Daphnia pulex: one gene and its partner. The protein of the gene in region 1 purifies or fractionates together with the protein of each later gene. This does not show direct contact. Links are inferred from orthologs where the notes say so. Each region holds a gene or a part of one and is shown on either strand. Other genes may lie near its edges. The genes, in order: transcription initiation protein SPT3 homolog and ubiquitin carboxyl-terminal hydrolase 22-like.

The links.
Region 2: the proteins of transcription initiation protein SPT3 homolog (region 1) and ubiquitin carboxyl-terminal hydrolase 22-like purify together in Homo sapiens (affinity purification with western blotting; 6 studies listed by BioGRID and IntAct, with this or other methods). This does not show direct contact. The link is inferred for Daphnia pulex from reciprocal best matches to the Homo sapiens genes SUPT3H and USP22.

The regions. Positions count from the first base shown.
Region 1 is NC_060027.1:750,212-753,926, reverse strand, and holds transcription initiation protein SPT3 homolog, read left to right. Parts: upstream 1-1,509; 5' UTR 1,510-1,673; coding exon 1,674-1,728; intron 1,729-1,793; coding exon 1,794-1,971; intron 1,972-2,039; coding exon 2,040-2,346; intron 2,347-2,408; coding exon 2,409-2,666; intron 2,667-2,705; exon of another isoform or gene 2,706-2,735; coding exon 2,736-2,882; 3' UTR 2,883-2,883; coding exon of another isoform or gene 2,884-3,003; 3' UTR 3,004-3,064; downstream 3,065-3,715. Other genes in the region: HEAT repeat-containing protein 6-like, read right to left, coding at 1-228, 289-373, 438-674, 745-993, 1,049-1,234; DALR anticodon-binding domain-containing protein 3-like, read right to left, coding at 2,884-3,003, 3,065-3,360, 3,430-3,596, 3,672-3,715.
Region 2 is NC_060023.1:10,811,735-10,815,991, forward strand, and holds the start of ubiquitin carboxyl-terminal hydrolase 22-like, read left to right. Parts: upstream 1-1,438; 5' UTR 1,439-1,653; coding exon 1,654-1,776; intron 1,777-1,836; coding exon 1,837-1,969; intron 1,970-2,030; coding exon 2,031-2,246; intron 2,247-2,311; coding exon 2,312-2,484; intron 2,485-2,593; coding exon 2,594-2,739; intron 2,740-2,808; coding exon 2,809-2,928; intron 2,929-3,002; coding exon 3,003-3,261; intron 3,262-3,344; coding exon 3,345-3,523; intron 3,524-3,610; coding exon 3,611-3,760; intron 3,761-3,854; coding exon 3,855-3,897; 3' UTR 3,898-4,257. UniProt on the Homo sapiens protein: Deubiquitinase that plays a role in several cellular processes including transcriptional regulation, cell cycle progression or innate immunity.

The DNA of each region.
Region 1 (3,715 bases):
ACGGTTTATTTTTCGTTTGGAAATGGACTTCAATGTCAACTTCCTCGATGTTGCTATCTCGATTCTTGGATTGAACTTTGCTGGGAGGACGTTTCTTTCTCACCTTCGGATTCTTCGTCTGATCTGACTTGGAAGAAAGTTCCACAAATGGAAGGGATGATGGACGAATTGGAGCGTACTTTAGTGGCTGACCAGCGATTCCAAAAAGCATGTAGTATCGTGCTAGACCTTAGATAAAGAATATATATCATATCCAAATAAGCAGGTCTCCGAAATGTGCAGCCTTACTAAAGATACTTTCCAAATGAGCCACTGTTGAAGCAGTAAATCTAACAAATGTATTCTCTAATCCATAGAAACAAAGACTAAGAACCTAGTAAAATAAATGAATGTGGTTAAGAAATTTCTTCATGACATTATAAGAAACACTGTTTTACCTTGAGAAGGTTAAGATTGTTTGGATCGGAATTTAGGTGTTGCTCTTGGAATTTTATGAACTGGATGATACATGTGTTAATTACATCCTTTGATATTGTAGACCAATCCTTTTCTCCCGAACAGTTGGTAAAATTGCAGAGAATTTTCAGAATGAGAACTGTTTGATTATTGATTTGTTGTTCTTCATTCAATTTATTGATCAAGAATCCAGAAGGACTAAGCACTTTCTCCAAAGCCTAATTTAGTAATTTCAATGGGAAACATTATTGTTCAAAATTTTTCATTCATTCCCAGTTTCAGACCTACTTTAGTTTGTTTAACTTCTTTGAAGTTGACTGCCACAGCAAGACAATTGAAAATGTCAGTAAATATTAAATGATTTTCATTCTTAAGGGATTTTATAATCCAATCAATTAATTGCTCTGATGCTTGACTTGTTAAGTGTACATTTGGAAGTTGTAAAACTTGTTCCCATATTTGACAAGTCTTGGCAACTTTAAAAGATTCTTCATGTTTCACAATTTTTAAAACATCTGATACTAAAATTACAGAATCCTATAAACATAAGATTTTAAACAGTGAAATGAATATAACTTTTATGGAATCTTACTTGAACATTGACTGACGACGATTCCAATTCTTTCCTTTTAAGATCGAAGAAAAGGGTGTTCAGATTATCCAAGAAATTTGTTATTTCTTCCGGATTTGCATTTTTCTTATCTAACAATAGGTTGAGCTTTTCTCGAACCCCTGTCAGATAATTTGTGTCTAATGATTTAAGTTGAGAAAGAGCCATGACTCTATCTCGATTGTCACACTTTGTTTACAAATTGAAGGTCCTTGATTTTTTCGACATTTTCGTCTGCTATGTGTCGACGAAGTACCGAAGGCATCCGCTTGGTTTTTTTTTTTCTTAATTGAAAAATGTTTAAGATTAATGAAAGCGTGGTTCATTCAAAAGTTCATAAAAAATAAAGATTTTTTTTTCCTTACTAAATTTTGGGAAAAAAATTGAAATAGTTTCAAAATTAGCTTTGGCATTGAGGCAAATTCAAATATGTCTAGCTAGGCTAGCAGACTACCACACAATACCTTCTTTTAGGGTTCAGTTCAGACTTCAAACAATAACAAATGGAGTTTTAGAAAACACCGGTTGATATTACTATTTGGTACACGAATTATACCAACACAACTGATATTTTGTAAAAATTAGCAAAATTCTCAATCTCCTAAAAATGCCAGCTGCTGATGTATCCACTAATTCTTCCACCGATGGATGGTACATCTTGGGTAAGTTCATATTAACGACCAACAATGTCAACATTTCCTAACTACATTTAATTCGACATGTTTAGAAATCCAAAAAATGATGTATGGATTTGGCGACAGCAAATATTCGCTGAAAGAAACTGCTGAATTAGTAGAGAAAATTGTGAAGGAACAACTAATTCAGTTCCTGAATGCACTGTCTGAGGTTGCTGTTAAAATTAACTCAAAGAAAATTGGTATCAAAGAATTTCTAGTCTTACTTAGGTAGGTAACCTTCAGTTTAACAATATCTCAAGTTATTCAATATATTGAAGTGATTTCTGTTAAATTAGGCACAGTCCAGTTAAACTGAGAAGATTTTGCACCTATTTACAAGCCAGTGGGTTTAAGGATTTGGCAAAAGAAGATGATTTGCCTAAAGACATAATGACTGAATTTTCTGATCTTCACACTGGAAATAAAAAACTGAATTCTGCTCTTGCATTCCTACAACACCTTGATCCATCATGTTATCTGTGTAATGTGGCAGATCCATCTAAACCTTTCCTGTTACCTGATGATGCCCTCAAGGAACGAAATGAAAGGATTGAGAGAATGACATTAGCCATGGAGAAGGGGCAGTACATTGAATATTCTCAAGTATTTTGATTCAACCTAACTGCTTTTTCAAAATCTAGATTTAACAGAATTGTTTTTGTCAGGCCAAATCTACCTCATTTAAGAGAGGCCAGCCTTCTGGTAAATTTCAAGATTGGTTACTTAAAGATTCTCCAGCTCCTGAGGTTGCTTTAAGTGCGACAGCTTGGTCTATTCTCAGTTACTTTGCTTACGAAACCATCGCACAAATAGTAGATCTGGCCTTCATAGTACGAAGAGACAATATGGCTGGGCAAGTGAGTGACGCAGTTCAACGTAACACTGCACCAAGAGTATCTCCAGCGAATGCTGATTTGTTCAAGGTAAAAGGATTAAAATGAATGTTACAATAATTATAATCATTCTTTAAAACAAAATTTCCGTATTTTTAGCCGACATGGTCAAATTCGATGAAACCTCTTCAAACAGCGGAAGTCTCTGAGGCCATCAGACGGTTCAACAATACACACAACTCAATTTTTTCTCCATTCCGAAGAAATGGTGTTCCTCCTCCTGGACATCGACTTCTGGCACTGTAATTTAAACGTACTGCAAGGGCTTCAAATTCAATATGGCGAAAGCTGCGTCGTAAATTGTTAATATCACTTTCAACATCCAAATTCGTGCGTGCATTGTTGGATGCGATCGGTTGTGTTCATCCTAAAAATAGGAAACTTTAATGTAAAATTGTATGCAAGAAACCTGAATAAAGAATACTCACACATAGGGTGCGAACTGAACTGTAGTAATGGGAATAATCCTGCGATAAAAATAGCAAAAATCGCCATAACTCTGAAGTTATCTTTGCGATGCGAGTGAGTGAAAATTTGTTCAGCATAGGAACAAATCCAGCAATATATTTGGAGGTGATTTCAATTTCTGCTTTATGCTTCAGCAACTTAAAATTGGTCGTATCCAAACTTGGCAGTGGAGGGTAAAGTGAGCAATCCACTCCATCAGAAAATTTTTGAAGTATACAGGCAACCCTACTTCTGTTGTACAAAACCTTTATTGCTTCTAAAATAGAAATGAAAAATTCAATAATTAGTTATTAAAAAGGAACCATGATTTTGGTAAACTGAATACCTCTGAATTGAGGATCAATTTCTAGTCCAGCTAGTCCTACCGCATGCATTGGTTTTGTGGTGTCATTGTGCAAGAAATCATAACTGATAACAGCCTCTGTGATCCATGCTTCAGACATACTTTTACCTTCCGTTGGATGCCTGGATTTAACATGCAACTGTCGTAGCCTTCAAACACAAAAAACACCTACATAGTTAGTATATTAAGGCATTTTAGAGTAAATTGAAATTACAGTTTTTTACCTCATATATTCTTCAAATGATGTCGTCACATCCTTTTTTTTGGT
Region 2 (4,257 bases), on another chromosome or scaffold:
CTCAGTTGTTACGTGTGTTCAACAATGCGAGGATGAACGAACAGACAAGATGTAGGAAACTCTCCAGCAGGCCCTTTAACAACCGAAGAAGAAGAAGGGTGAGAATGACTCGGTTGGTTGGCAGCGAAAAAAGAAAAGAGATGAAAAACACAATTCCACGATGGCCGATTATGGCATAATTGGATACACCAGCAGGTCTCGAGAGAAAAAAGGGAATTACCGTATACTTATATGGGCTGGTCATCAGCAGGGCGAAGCCATAGGGTTGTTGGATACGTTTGAAAGTATAGAAAAACATGTATATACTTAAATATTGGGAAGCGAGTTCTTCTCCAGCGGCCATTTAGACACATTTCCAGTTTCTTCTTCACGTCCTCGAGGGGCTTTGGGAGTCCTTTTTTTTTCTATTATCAGCTATAAAGTTAAGCTTCGAGAACCTAAAAGAAAAGAAAAATAAAATGAAAAAGAATCCATTTTGAAGGGCATTTCGACTATATAACACTGGCAGACATCCCCAAGTTCTTTTCTTCAAGATTTTGACTTTCAAGGCCACAAGATTATTCCACAACAGCATCATTATTCACGACACATCGTGTCCAATTGGATATCACATGGTTTTTTGGCCACCTCGAAAGCGTTATTATGAAAATTTCGCGTCAAGAATGACTTAACACGTGGGGAGAGATAACTATTTACACACACACACCAGCTGATTGACCATGTCGAATTTATTAACCTTGGATTGATCTTAATTCATTCAGACATGTGGCGATTGAAATGCATCGCCGACATAATCTAGTTTGATTGCCAAAATTGATTGCAAACCAGTTGCCACTTACTTATGGCAGAAATGTGATGTGTTGCACACGTCGTCGATCTCGGCCATTGTGGTCGAATATCGTCGATAAAGGAGACGGTGACGTTTGGTTATTTCACGGCTCGTTGCAATAGCTCAACTTTCGATTTTATTCCACTCCGTTTCACTTCATCCAAGGGCTTCATCATCCGTGTAAACATCACTTTCCAACATTGTTGTTTTTTTAATGCAAGAGTTTCACATTCCACGAGCATTTTGATTCTGGCAAAACGTCTTCTTCGAAATCCCGACCTCATTTTCACCCAGCCAAAACATTGCCAATTATCTTGAATTCGGAAGAAAAGGGGGAAACAAAAACACGTTTCGTTCCAATCTTTTGAAATCATTATATAAAATGAGGTTATCTCCTGGGGAATTGCTTCCTGCACCAAAAAAAAAGTTCACTAGTCCATGTATTATTTCCGAACAAAAGCTAGCGGTTACCACATTTCCGGCGGCCAGGATATAATTGATTTGTTGTCTGCGGTTTTCACACAAAAATCTCCCTCCATTTTTCCTCAAAAAAATCTTGTCTGCTCAACGTTGCACGAGGTTGTTATTTTGGACAGAAGATGGCGATGGCGCTTTACCATTTTAGCAGAATAAATTTTTTTTTTTGGCCTACAGAAAAGGAAAGAAGCTATGGCGTTTAGATAAATTGTTTCTTCTTGAGAAAGCCGTCGAGGTTGGGCTTGTAGAGGCCGAAATTTATTAATTTTCTATAAGGTCTCTATTAAAACGTGTGGAATTATAAAGCCGCCAACATTTTGCCCAAGTCTAATTCACCGTCGGTGGCCATGTCGGCTGCCCATGGCTGTCTCCACTTGAACAACTTCAAAGCGGCCAAGGGGACTAGGCCCTACCGGCTCATTCATTCCTTTTTTGTGGCATGCACATCTTCAGAAGCCCGTAAACGCAAGGTAAGAGTTCAAGTATTGTTTCTTTTAAATCACTCCTTTACTCATCATTTTTGTTGCTAGGCCAAATCGTGTGTGTGTCATGTCTGTCAGCGAAGAGGACCCAGGCTTCATGCCTGCCTTCACTGCATTTTCTTTGGCTGCTATGGTGCTGGTCACATACAGGCCCACTCTCAGCAGCGGAAACATTTCTTAGGTAATTCGACAACCAAAAATCAAATCTCATTGATACTAATGCAGCCTCCTTTTTTTTACAGCTGTAGATCTGACTTATGGAGTTGTGTGCTGCTTTCAGTGTGGGGATTACGTCTATGACCGAGAATTGGAAACTATTGCTCAAAAGCATCAAACCAAAGCTTCTCTCTCCTTGGGACTGGGTCAAGTCTATCATTCATGGGAACCTTCTGAGGAAGAAATTGAGCTCCTCAAAAAGCATACACGACGCAAGAAGATCACAGACTCTGCCACTATCGGTTCATTATTTAAAAAAATTCATTATCCAATCTTTTATCTTAACTCCATGTTTCATTCATGGCAGGACTCAGAGGTCTAGTGAATTTGGGCAACACCTGTTTCATGAACTGCATAGTACAGGCTCTCTTAAAAGTACCTCTTCTCAGAGATTTCTTCTTGTCGGATCGTCATATTTGTCAGTTCCAAGACGAACCGAGTCGCTGTCTGGTCTGCGAAATCTCTCGCCTATTCCAAGAGGTATGTCATCCAAAAAACAAGAATCCTCGTTTCCTGTGAGAAATCTATTTTCGGATTCATAACACTCCTACTAGACTTATCGCTTCTTTTTTAATCTTCTCTTTCGCAGTTCTATTCGGGGAACAAGGCTCCTCTGACATTGCACCGACTTCTTCACTTGATATGGACTCACGCTCGTCATTTAGCTGGATATGAACAGCAAGACGCCCACGAATTTTTCATAGCAACTTTGGATGTACTCCATCGACACTGCAGGTGAAATTATTCATTGGCTATAAAAGTCGTGAGAAACGTGACATTCTAAATATAAATGATTTTTAACAGAGGACCAAATGAGCAACAGTCGACTCAGCCTCAAGAGAACTCTGTCAATCGGTGCACATGTATCATAGATCAAATTTTCACTGGTGGTTTGCAGTCAGACGTCGTTTGTCAAGCTTGCCAGTAATAACTATTTCAAATGTTTGATGTCCTAAATTTGCTGGTCTTAACGGTTATTTTGTTTTTGTTCACTGCAGCGGTGTCTCTACAACAGTAGATCCTTTTTGGGATATTTCCCTGGACCTCGGTCCGTCACCCAGCACGAAAGTCGTCACCACTGGCAACGGCCCTGGATCGATTCCCACTTCCTTGCAGGACTGTTTGGAGCGATTCACCCGGGCAGAGCACTTGGGATCTTCGGCTAAGATCAAGTGTTCGCGATGTCTTAGCTACCAAGAATCCACAAAACAACTGACGATGAAGAAACTGCCAGTGGTTGCTAGTTTTCACCTAAAGGTGCGTATTGTTTTGTTTTTTTATTGACTTTGAACGTCATATTATGAACCACTCATCGTTATTTTTTTCTTTACTTTATGCAGCGCTTTGAACATTCCAATCGATTCCATAAGAAGATCTCGTCATTCATCGCCTTTCCAGAATACCTGGACATGAGTCCATTCATGTCCCACCGTCGAAACATCAATAACAACGTCAATTCGGATTCTCCGGACCGGGCTGATAGGCCCGTCCACAAGCCCCTTATTTCCACTGAAAACATGTAAACTTGTTGCTCGGTTTATTGAGAAAACGACCGAATGTGACTGTGACGGAATCCTCGTTGCTTCCTTCCTTCTCACCCCACCAGGTATTCTCTATTTGCTGTGATCAACCACGTCGGAACCATTGAAGCCGGTCACTACACGGCCTACATCCGGCAGCACCGAGACCATTGGTTCAAGTGCGATGACCATCTCATCACCAAAGCTGATATTCGCGACGTCCTCCAAAGTGAAGGGTATCAAATATTCCACAAAAACAAACTTAGTTTAAAATATTTTGCAATTTGCTTGGTTGTTCTTGGATATTAATTGGGTGATTTGGTTTTTCAGGTACCTACTCTTCTACCACAAGATGATATTGGAGTATGAATAGAAATGGAGAAGAAAAATGTTTGTAAAGGGCAGCTCAACCGAGTCAACTTTTTTTTTTTTGCATGCAACATCCATCCCTCCATTCACAAGACCTTTTTTTTGTTTGTTTTGTTTTTCCTTTTTTAATTTCCCTTTCTCACTTCCACTTCCAGACAGTTCATCGGCGGTTAATGACCGTAGAAAACGACCATTTTCATTTTTTCTTTTTTCACGATTCAATAAAATATGAAAAAAACACAAAATGGTTAGAACAAGGAATTGAAAGACGAAAAAAAAAGCGAGATTTCTCTGACATAAACCCTCCCATTGGTGTTTCTGCCCTTTGGATTCTTTTGATTGTAAATCCCAAGCAACTCTCTCT